Schizosaccharomyces pombe: one gene and its partner. Changing the gene in region 1 together with any one later gene gives a genetic interaction. Each region holds a gene or a part of one and is shown in the gene's direction. Other genes may lie near its edges.

Region 1 (5,999 bases):
ATATCTTTTCATAATGTATCATAAGCTATTTTGTTCGTTCATTTTTATGAAATTGCTAATTGTCATAGAGGAGGGAAATGATTAAGATATCTATATGTTTGCTGATTGACAAGTCCTTATTAATTTTCAATTGTTTAGGTGTCGCATTCAGTGTACGGACAATAATGACATTATGCTTTCGACATATAAATTCCATGTTGACATAGTGACGTCTCAAGCCTAGCTCAAATCTTTAAAACATGGGTTCAAGTCGCTAAAAATCTACCTGAACTTTACAGCTCTTTTGTTACTTTCGAAAGTGTAGTCTAATAAGTCCATTTTGAGCCTGACCTTATTTATACTTCGCTTTGTCTAGTGTGAGTTGGCGGATTAAGTATGTTTTAATGAACATTGTTTCAACCTACCTCTAATTAACATACTAACCTTTTTATTAGTATTTCCTTTCTCTTTTTATATATACATATTTTCAAAGTCTTAAATCGTTTATCAAGTAATTAGCAAGATGATGGGCACTCAACCATCTTACTCTATTCATACGCTTCGCGCGCCTCCTAAAGCGAAACAGAATCAAATTCCTCCCTCTACTACCCGTCGTGCAGTAAATGTTAATAAACTCGGCAGACAATTCCGTTATCCATCTGTGGGTATGTTTACTCCCGAAATGGCTAAACGCCTTGCAGCTCTCGTTAAGATGGAAAAGGATTTACTTCGATCTTATGAAAACGTTGCCATGGAGCGCAAAGAATGTGCCAATCAACTTTCGTATTGGGGTGAAGATTGCGATGATGATATTAGCGATATCAGTGATAAGCTTGGTGTACTTTTATATGAAATTGGCGAACTTGAGGAGCATATGGTAGACAGATACGATCAATATCGTGTTAGTCTGAAGACCATCCGTGATATTGAGGCTAGCGTTCAACCCACCCGTGTTAAGAAAGAAAAGCTACTTAACTCCATTTATGATGTTAGAAGCCGTGATCCTGAGTCCCCAAAGCTTATTACTATGGAACAGGAACTAGTTCGTGAGGAAGCTGCGTGTTTGGTTGCAGAAGCGCAGTTAACTAACATTACCCGCGAAAACTTTAAACGTGCTTTTACTCTTCATATTGGTACATTACTTGAGCATTCTGAAAAGGTTGCTATTCTTTGCGGGTATGCCAAGAAGATCCTCGATCTCCTGGACGATACTCCCATTGTTCCCGGTGAGCCTCGCCCTATTTACGATGGTTACAACATAACCCGTGACTATATTGTTGAGGCTGAACGTGAGTTGGCTAATTGGCAAAATCCTTTCCAAACTCCTGAACCCCTTACCGACATTGATGGTTTGCCTTCTCAAAGTCATTATCAAACACAATTTCAAGCTAGTGTCGTTCCTCGCACAGATGTAATCAATGAACCTCCACGCCGTTACTCTCATGCGAATGGTGTAACTACTTCCGGCACTACACACTCTTACACCTCTACAGGTAGTAAAAGATATTCTCAAATGGGTACAGAAGATTATCAACCTAGTTTTCAACCAAACATTCTTCAAAGCACCCAAGTTGTTGATAACTTTGAAATTGGCGAGGAGGATGATGAAGAAGTAGGATCTCAAGGCGTTGCTGAAACGTCTATGCCTAGCACTAGTGCACAACCTATTGCTGCTTAAGCAAGTCTTGGTGTGTATTCACGCGATTTCTGGTGATCCTTACGCATTCATCAATTGACGTGAATTTTTTGTCATGTCAATTCACATAATTTGCTAGCACGTGTTAAGCACTTGCTATTGCTACATATGCATGCTTATCGAACTAATACTCACGTTACTCTCATTACCATTGTTTTTGTGTCTATGTCGTTTAACCATATTTATTTTCCACCGAGTTTTATGTTTCGCAGATGTTGGTTTCTTAATTATCTTGTTTTTATTTAGTGTTTTTTTTTAATTCCTGCGGTCAAAATTAGGCTTAACAAGGTTGTTGGTTAAAGCAATTAATTAACAATGGAGATTATTTGTGTTGAAAAAGGATTTTATTAAATGTATGATTTTATAATTTTTACTTCTCAATCCGATTTAATAAAATATTTATGTAAAAATTGGCAGTTCGGTTGTATTAGTAAAAAGCAATACAACATAGATAGCAAATTCAACTGGGTCAGATCTTTAGTATATATTATTTAACAACGGTAAAAATATCAATAAAGCTTAATTAAAGCAAAACATATGCTTCCTTTCGAAGAGTTGGTTATCATATAACACCTAACTTTTATAGAAATTATGTATCAAAATATAAAGCGACATTGCCTATATGTTACTTGCAGTCAAAGAAGGCTCGTAAACTATTTTGATTATGCGATAGAGTATGGTATGTTTTCTGTGATATCTGAAAAACGCTACGATGAATTATTAATTATTTTTGCTACTCTCAAAATCAATAATATCATACAGTATTATGATTTTCGTTTGCCTATTCTTCGAATTATAGTTTGTAGTTCAGCCTTAATATAGGTAATTGGGGAGTATCAGCATCACCAGACGACCTATCTTGTAAAGCAAAGGTACAATGAATAGCGATACTTTACGTATCATTACATAGTGCAATGAGAATTGTTAATAATATCATACATTACACTGTCACTGAAAGTTCGTTTTGTAAAACGTGCTGCATAAACCTTCAGGTAACAATGAACTCGTTACTCAGGCGCTGCGTTGGAAATCAAGCCTTCAAAAATCGTTTCATGGACATTAAAGAGTTTGATTTGAATTTTTGTAAATATAGCATTCTCATTTTTTACTTTTGAGACCTAATTTGGAAAATACATTAGTCCGGGGTTCATTATAGCAGAAAAGCATCTACGCTTCTCAAATACAACAAAATAATGAATCAGGACGTTAGAGTATTTCCAGACAGCATTTATCTATCATGTTCCAAAAAAAAAGCTTCTCTTCGAATAGATAGAGTCGACGGATGCCTTAGTTTGAGCAATTCTCTTGATCTCAGCAAGACACCTGACTATAATAACGTTCAGTTATATGGATTTATTCGATTGAAAATATACAAATATGTAGTTCTTGTTACAAGTTGTGATTTGCATGCAGCAATTCTCGGAAACAATATTTATCGGGCAAGGAAATTTGCTATCTTCCCAATTACAAGGACTCTTCCATTCTCCACGGGTCTGCTAAATATTAAAGATGAGGAAGAACTACATTATATCAGTTTGCTCAATAAACATTTGTCAAAAGGCCAAATACTTTTTAGTCCAACGTTAGATCTAACCTGTTCCCTTCAAAGATTACGCGTACTAACCCAATCTTTTGAACTGACATCAAAATATAATTACCGCTTTTTTTGGAATAAATATGCATTTCATGAATTAATTGAATTGACGAATAAGGATTTAGGCTTTCAAGAATGGATTCAACCGATGATTCAGGGTAATATCGCCATTACTAACTCGTTTTTAAAGACTTATAACCTTAGACTGTGTGTTATTACACGACATTCTCCTGACTATGCGGGTACGCGGTATTTCACCAGAGGTGTAAACGCACAAGGAAGTGCTGCTAATTTTAATGAAATTGAACAAATAATAATGATCGAATCACCCATCACCCTTGAAGAACAAATGGTTCTTTCTTTTACTCAAATTCGAGGAAGTATCCCCATGTTCTGGGCCGAAGTTAATGATCTTCATTATCGACCTTTATTATCTTTACAACCTCTTGATTATAGCGAGACTGTGTTTGGGAAGCATTTTCAAGAACTTGCCAACGATTATGGGGACAATCTTGTGGTGGTCAATCTTCTAGACCAAAAAGGACGTGAAGCACCTCTACGGTCTGGGTTTGAAAAATTATGTAAACGAAATAAAAACCCTCCTTTGTCTTATGTTTACTACGATTATCATAAGCAAGGAAGTAGAAATCTCCCTTTGTTTCTTGCTGAAATTCAAAGTCTCTTGATAGAAGGAAAATATTATGCCGAGCATGGATCTAAAACTACTGCAATGCAAACCAACTTTGTAAGGACAAATTGTATGGATTGCTTAGATCGGACGAACGTCATTCAGACTAGCATTGCACAGTTTATTCTAAACATGCAATTACACGATATTGGTGTACTTTCTAGCTCTGAGAGTTTGGAAGAATATGATAGTTTTTTACAAGATTTTCGCTTAATATGGGCTAATACTGGAGATTATATCAGTGATCTCTACACTGGTACCCCGGCCTTAAAAGGCGATGTGACTCGCCATGGAACGAGAACCATTTTTGGAGCTTTCAAAGATTTATTAAACTGCTTTCGTAGATATATTCTTAACAATTTTTTTGACGGTATGCTGCAAGATAGCTATGATTTGGGTCTTGGAGTATTTCGTCCTTACGACTCACTTTCGATTCCGGACTTGCCTTTGCGTTTTCACTGGACTAGATTTGTGGCACCTGGAATTTTTTTGTTCACCACGATAATATTAACTATACAAGAATTATTTGGAAATCCAAGTCTGTTCTGTCGTCTGTTATATTCTATCCCTATGGTGAATGCTGGAATCTACCTATATTTTCATCGTAGACAATACGTTAATTGGCCTCGTCTAGTACTACCAACGTATGCTAAGGGAGGTTGGTTTTCGTTTCGTAATCATTTCCGAAATATTACTCTTAAAGTGTTTCGTTTTTTGCGTTCCGGCTCTTTCAAAAAAAGTGTCTAACTGTGCATTTCAATAACTAAAGAACAGTATTGCTATAACTCTTAATTAGCAGAAAACGCTCTTTGAACACTCGAAGTTCACTCTTTATTTCATTAGACTTCATAGATGTCAATCTTGCTACTGAACAAAGCGATGCTACCCAACTTTATCAAGTGACTAATTCAGATCATTTTACGTGATTGGTAATTGTAACTTTATTTTCTTTAATTGCTCCAAGCTTCCTACCAATATCAATTAGTAATTTAAGATTTTCATAATTGTTAGAGCCCTTAACAAACTATTGTAGTATGGATAACACACGAAAAAAATATAGCAGACAAAATTAATATTTCTAACTTTTATTAAGTCAGTGTTAAATATTGGGCAACTTTGACCATTGAATCACTGAGGCTTTTGACTCAAGTTTTACTCGGTTTTAAACAGTAAATGAAATATATGAAAAAGCCAAGCTTTCTTTCAATTTCATAAGTGTTGTTCATGTTCAATATTTAGGATACATACTTCTTCCAATTTAGGGGCATTCTGGTTTAATATTTTCAATGAACATGTTATAAAAATGAATTTTTTAAAAGATCATACAGTTCAGCAACGTTTTCTAATACTTCCAATCCAGAATCTTAATTCACAATTCACATTACTGAAAAAATGATGAAGTTATGCCTTACCCGACAGTTTTTGTATGAAAACTCCACAATATTACGAAAATGATTATATACACTTTTACAATCAGCTTAGCATAATTATGCTTATAGAAATGGAAATGCTCACACTTAATTTTGAATATTATTTTAATAGTGGATTTAACTACTCCTAGTACCAAGTCAAAGACTTGAGATCACTTAATGTAGCTTACGGAAGCGTAAACATCTCTCGCAATAATACTGCGTAACGAAGACCTGCAATTTAGTATATTAAGCTTGAACTTACACGTATACCCCTCTTGTTTATGTTAGCAGGAGTGCAATGTTCTGAACTTGTATATTTTAAGCCGTTCTGTTAAATATTATTAATTTAATCGTTTTTCTTTTTAAAAATTATAGCTTTTTAACGCATTGACGAGTTCACTACATACTCTAAGGATACTTAACATAAGTACGAGTACTGCAAACCGTCCATCAAGCTCTTCAAGGCGAATCATACATTTCGAGCGAAATACGACTCTTTAACATATATTCATTATTTAACATATTCACTTAATAATTCAACCCGATTCTGGCAGGATTAGCAACCTGGTCATATTCTTATGATTTATTCTTTAATATTTGTTTGCAACATAACCACACCCAAAATTTAAA
Region 2 (6,607 bases), on another chromosome or scaffold:
AACCGTTCGATTCAAAGCAAAGTACAAACAAAGCCACAAAAGGATCTTACTAATAACGAATGCTACAAAAAACTAGACCAACTAACTAAACAAGTAGCAAAGGGATATAAAGAGGTACAGCGAAGTCACTGAAAAGATGAAGATAACGAGATATACAGATGTCATTAAAAGAGTGGTATAACGAAATATAGTGATATCACAAACCCACAGAATTTTAGGGCTGGTAAGAAAAGTAAAGAGAAGAAAAACAAAACAAAAGAATAAAAAAAACAAAAAAACAAACAAAAGGAAAGGCTGATGTGCATATAGTCTCAAAAGTCAATCGAGTTTAGTTTTACTTTTTCATGAGCATCTAGCATTTGCTCTTGTTTTGTGTTCGGCCGTCTGACTGTTTGGATGAGGAAGAAGAAAATTTTGTAGGGCGGCCGTGAAAGAAAAGGAAACAAAGGAAAAATTAAAAGAAAATAAATAAAATCGAATTAAATTAAATTAAATTAAATTAAATTAAACGAAATAAAATAAAATAAAATAATAATAAAAATAAAAATAAAATAAAATTGTAATTGTAATTGTAATTGCATTTGCTTTTGCTTTTGCTCTAGAAATGCTCCAATGTCTTTCCCTCGTACTAGTGTCATTGTCAGGATGCTGGATGGGCGAGATGACAAACGAGGAATAGTGTGTGCAATAAACAGGAGAGAGAAAGGCAAGTGAGAAGCAACAAGAGTTGAATCAAACTGAATTGAATTGAACCAAATTATTATTCTTCTTATAATCAAATTATTATTCCTCTTTAATCAAATCACTATTCCTCTTTAATCAAATCACTATTCCTCTTTAATTAAATTCCCATTCCTCTTGCTTACTGCCGCTCTTTTTTTCCCCCTCCCCTTGTTTAGATTTGGGTTGCTGAAATTTTCTTTTCTTTTTTTCATCCTCCTCCTCCTCCTCCTCCTTACTTTATTTTGTGTTTAACTTTTTTTCCCTTCTTTCCTTCAACTTTAATAAACCCGATCATTCCTTCCGATTGATCCTCTGCCAAATTTCCACCAAACGGTCGGATCCAAATTCAATGGAAAAGGAAGCGACTGGCGGTCGCACGAAGCAATGACCATGGCAGATGGATGAAATGATAACATCAACGGAATTAATTTCCTGACAAATGATGATACAAAGTATTGAATGAAACATGTCAATCATCATTTACTTATCTACATTTCCCACACTCTAGTGAATTTCATACTTTAGCTAATTTCAACACTTTAGCTCTAGCTACTCTTCCACCTCTTTAATTTTTTCTTTAGCTCTCTCCATCTCTCTATCTCTTATAACAATCTCTTTTTTTATACGTTATTCATCTTTAACCTCTCCCTTTCATCCCATCTCAATTCCTCCTTCGACTCTCAATCGCCCCCCATCTACCTTCTTTCGCTCTCCTTCTCCCCAACGAGGTCGCGTTCCTCTTCGCTATTCCCCTCTACTCCCCTCTCTCGCCCCACACACCGCCTGTCTCGCTCACTCAACTCCCTTTCGCCCTCCCCCACGTCATCCCCCCTGCTTGCTAGCGTTTAGCCTTTCGTTCTTCCTCTCAGCGTTTAGCGCGGTGCAACGGATTGTGGAGTCGCTCGCCGGAGGTAACACGTTGTAGCCGAACTAAAAGTGACATCATACTTCGGCACTTGCATGGGTGGGATTCCCGGAGATCGTGTGGATTTGCTAGCTCCTCCATCCAATGCGACTCGGCAGTTGATGTAGAGCGGCCATTCGAGATTACATGGGAGATGCTGTAGTAGACTGCGTGTTTCGTATACATATATTATATACACCTGCCGTGCACCGCAATACTTTTTGCCTTTTCCCATCCACTTTTTTTCATAGTATTGTTGAGAGCCACATTGATTGATTCCTTTTTATCAAGGAATTGAACCTGTTTCTCGTCGTCTTTTTTTTTTTTTTTTAAACTAGCAAATAAAAAAATTCATTGTAAGATTTGAATTATACTAAAAAGCTCTACTTCACTCCCCCGTCAGTCATAGTCCAACAACTTTGACTCAACAAAGCAAAAGCAAAAGCAAATCAAACCATACGATACGATACGAAAAACGAAAGTTTTTTTTGTCCATTGCATTGCTTTGATTCCCTTTGGTCTATCTGCCTTTGATTTCTTTTCTGGGTAAAACAGGAATTGAAAGAATTTTGAGAAAGTAAACGAAAAAATAAAGATTGAATAAAGCATAAAGATCTTATTTCCCATCAAAACATTGTTGTTATTGTTGTGATTTCTTCTGAAAAACAACAAATCAATTTCCAACTTTTCTATTCATTTACGCTTTTTTCCAATTCCCTTAATTTTCCATCCATCCATCCATCCTCATTGAGTCGAATTCTTTCTACTCAATTTGCCATTCGTCCCTTCACCCTTCCTATTCCACTCCCTTCTTTCCGGCTTCTTCCGTTTCGTTATTTGGTGTGATCGGTATCCCGAAAGTGAGTGAGTGAGTGAATTGTGTGATTCTCTTTCCCCCTTGGTATTCTTCCTTCAATCAACATTCTTTCGAATTCCCTTTTTGGGTTGATTTGTTCTTTGTTGTTGTTTTTTTTGTTTTGTTTTGTTTTTACGTACGTTCTATTTTCTATGAATACATAGAATTTCCTGTTTCGTAATCTCAATTCATTTCTCATTTTTCATACTTTATTTGAACCCAAGGTTTTCACACTTTTTCTTTATCTTCTCTTTTTTTTTATTTCCTTTGTGTGCTTTTCTTAAAGCCTCTTTTTTTTCCTCTTTGTGTGTCGTGATCGATCGGATCGTCTCGTCGGCTCACTTTACCTTGAATTTCTCCCTTTGGAAAATATCTACTGATATACCTATAAAAAGGTTCCCCATTCCCAATTAATTCCAGTATTGTTTTTTTTCCCTCTTCCTTATTTCCTTTTTTTTTTGTTCTTGAAATCTCTCATTCCTTTGTCGTTGCGCCAAAGAATTTTCCATAAACAATAACCAATTCGTTGTTGTCAGCGCTCGATTTCCCATCAAAAAAAAGTTATCTTCTTAGGAAATACTTATTTCTTTTCTCTCTTCAACCCTTTTCTTACTTGGAATTTATTTATTTATATATTTATTTATTCATTCTTCCCTTGTCATCCGTTGTTTTAAAAAAAACTCGCTTGACATTTCCTCAATTTCCCATCTCGTCTGACAGTATCTCCGTTACAAACTAATATCTGTCAAAAATCTTTGATTTTTCTCTACTTTCTCTTTGACGTGTTTGTTTATTTCTTGTGTTCCCATTCACTCCGTCTTGAGATTGCCTCTTTGAATCGTACTTTCTTACGCAATTGTTTTGTGTCGTACTTGAAAACTTGTATTGTTAAATAGTTTAACAACTACATTCCTTTGAGTTCATTCAAGTTTCTCTTTTGTATTTTCCTTGTTGTATTCTGAAGTTTTCTGTCTTTTTTCTTCCCTGTTTTTTACCTTTTTACCAAACCTTCCACTTGTTGTTTGGTTCATTGTAAAACACTTTTTTCTCTAATCTTACCGGTGGTTTGCTCTTCAGTGAACTAGAATATTTCTTTTGTTTCTTTATTTTACAATTGCACATGATTGCCGTTACGAACATGTCTGTCACCCCTCCCAATGTACAGTTTAACCTTAATGGGGATAGCGATCATAAATCAGACAATTCCAGTTCCTCACTGGAAAATAAACTTGACACTGAATTAAAAATAACGAGTCCTCCTCGTAACCCTCCTCAGCGTTTGCATCCTGTCGACTTTTCTGAGCACGCTGATACGGACGATGATATGAATCATCCTCTTCCCAGAGTTCAATCCCCCGTCCATATAAAGAATCACATTGACCCTAAACTTGCCGAGGATCGTTATCGTTCATCTGCTGCACGTCACTTCGAACCTATTTCCATTCCCCCTTCCGCTATCACCTCTGAGGATGAAGATGATTATCATGGCTCTGCTAATTCTTCTACCGTCCTTCCCCCTCGTACTGAAAATGCTTTACATGCTGCTAGTCCTAAACCTTCAGGTTCGACTGGTTACACCTCTCCTGCTCTTTCACAAAACAGCGGCAGTGGTGGTGAAGGCGAATCTGATGAAGGCTCTTTTAACACTCAGCATCATCGCTCCCCCATTTTTCAGGCATACCCTTCTTCAGAAGACCTTGTCGGCGATCCCAACGATCCTTATCGACGCACCCGCCGTGCTCCTATTAAGACAAATCCACATGATATCCCTTCACAGTTCATTTTCAGAAAGTTGGGTCTTCATCATGGAAAGCATGGTCATCATGGACACTCTGGTAGTTTATCGTTGAAATCTCTTGTTCCTAATCATCATGACAAGCATGATAAGCATGACAAGCACGAAAAACATCATAGTTCTTTAGATCTTCGTCGCTTTTTCAAATCCCATCAAAAGACAGACAAGGAGAAAAAGCCATCTGTTTCCAAGTCAAAATCTTCCGCTAACCTCCAAGATGATCATTTCGGTCTTTTCAAAAAATACGGAAAATTTGGAAGAATGCTTGGCTCTGGTGCAGGCGGTTCTGTCCGTATTATGAAGCGATCTTCTGATGGTAAAATTTTCGCCGTCAAAGAATTCCGTGCAAGAAGGCCTACTGAAACCGAGCGTGAATATGCCAGAAAGGTTACTGCTGAGTTTTGTATTGGTAGTGCTTTGCACCATACCAATATTATTGAGACCCTTGATATTGTTGAGGAAAATAAAAAATTCTATGAAGTTATGGAATATGCTCCATACGATATGTTTTCCATCGTAATGAGTGGTAAGATGACAATGCCTGAAGTTTATTGTTGTTTCAAACAACTTCTCTCAGGTGTTGCCTATTTACATTCGATGGGTTTGGCGCATCGAGACTTGAAACTCGATAATTTGGTTGTGGATAGTAATTGCTTTGTTAAAATCATTGATTTTGGTAGCGCTGTCGTTTTCAAATACCCCTTTGAAGCCGATATCGTTGAGGCCACTGGTGTTGTCGGTTCGGATCCATACCTTGCACCAGAAACCTTGGTCCGGAAACTATATGATCCTCGTGCAGTGGATATCTGGTCCTCCGCCATTATTTTCTGTTGTATGGCTCTTCGCCGCTTTCCTTGGAAATATCCCAAGCTTTCAGACAATTCTTTCCGTTTGTTTTGTATGAAACAGCCTTCAAATGATGCTGAGTCTCCCAGTGATATACTTGCTGACATAAAAAAACAGCGCTTAGTCGAGCAAGGATGCGAACCTATTAGAAAAACCGATGAATCACATAGTCCAAACTCTAAAACTGATAACTCTTCAACTCATAAACAAGAGTTGTATGGACCCTGGAGACTTTTGCGCCTACTACCAAGAGAAACTCGTGCTGTTATAGCTCATATGTTGGAGTTGGATCCTGTTAAGCGTTACGACATTCACAGGGTCTTTGCAGACAATTGGATTAATGATATTTCGATGTGCCATATGGAAAATGGTAAAGTTATTCATTCTCCAACACATGTCCATAATTTGGTGGCTTCAGAAGAGTCACCTGCTCCACCTGCAAAGCATTAAAAACTTATATTGTCTTTCCCACGTTTGTTTACAAAGTCGCCTTGGATATTGGTGATCTGTTAAACGATACCAAAAAATGAATAATGTGGTGGCTTGTTAATGAGCTAATCTCTTAATCGTTGACGGTGTAACTTAGTTTTCTTTTCAGACTTTTTTTATGTTAAAAAATACTTTATTCTTTGATTATTAGGGACATTTCAATTTCTTACTATAATCTCCTCTATTTAATAGTCAGTCCCTTTTTTATCAGCTCAACTTTATGATTGTTGGTGATTTTTTTTTTCTTTCTTTGGTTATTATATTATTATTATTGTCTTTGTGAGGTTAGCTTGTTTATGAGTTATTTATATGGTAAATAGGGGAAATCTACTGTGGTAGATTAAAAATATCTCTACAATTTTGAAAATAAATGTAAAATTGTCGCATCTTTGAATTTGGTTTTCATTTTTTAGTAAGTTTAGATAATACAATACAATTCATTAGTCTCAAAATTTTCAAAGATCGTGTTTGAATATGATATTTTGTCCTTTTCAACCGTTGTCAAAGTTGTTGCAAATATTGAATATATGCAGTGTTTACTTCAACTGTATAATAATGGTAAAACACGTGTTCAAAAAATAAATGCCTAGGCATCCATGTGCCCTGAAGCAGCTAGTTTTTAAGCACTAGAGACAATTTCTTAAAGAAGTAGAACATATCTCATGCAAAGTTTTCGAAATCAAATTTAAGGAAGACGACATGAATACAACGGAATGTGTGTGCTATGTTCTAGCATCGCTGACAGGACAAATATATTTTAAACAAATATCCTATTTTCTATAGGAAAAGTAAAGAAATGTAAAAAAACAGTTAGATTTGTGTTTTATTAGGAAATACAAAATATTTATAGGATGGGTTCACGAACAAAAGGAAGAGATCCACTTTTTTCTCAAACAATAGATCTTAATGAGGTATATGTGTTATTAACGAAAGGGCTGAACAAGAATAAGGAGGGTTCATCTTGGATTAATTGCCAAATGCATAAATCAAATTA

The links. Genes that interact genetically often act in the same process or in processes that back each other up.
Region 2: mutations in sac12 (region 1) and oca2 together harm fitness less than expected from each alone (positive genetic interaction), as found in Schizosaccharomyces pombe (one large-scale study listed by BioGRID).

Annotation. Positions count from the first base shown.
Region 1 is NC_003424.3:2,060,511-2,066,509, reverse strand, and holds sac12 (inositol polyphosphate phosphatase), read left to right. Parts: upstream 1-2,727; 5' UTR 2,728-2,868; coding exon 2,869-4,704; 3' UTR 4,705-4,937; downstream 4,938-5,999. Other genes in the region: eisosome BAR domain-containing protein Pil2, read left to right, coding at 506-1,657.
Region 2 is NC_003421.2:757,868-764,474, reverse strand, and holds oca2 (serine/threonine protein kinase Oca2), read left to right. Parts: upstream 1-1,850; 5' UTR 1,851-3,621; coding exon 3,622-5,574; 3' UTR 5,575-6,107; downstream 6,108-6,607. UniProt on the Schizosaccharomyces pombe protein: Overexpression causes cell cycle arrest.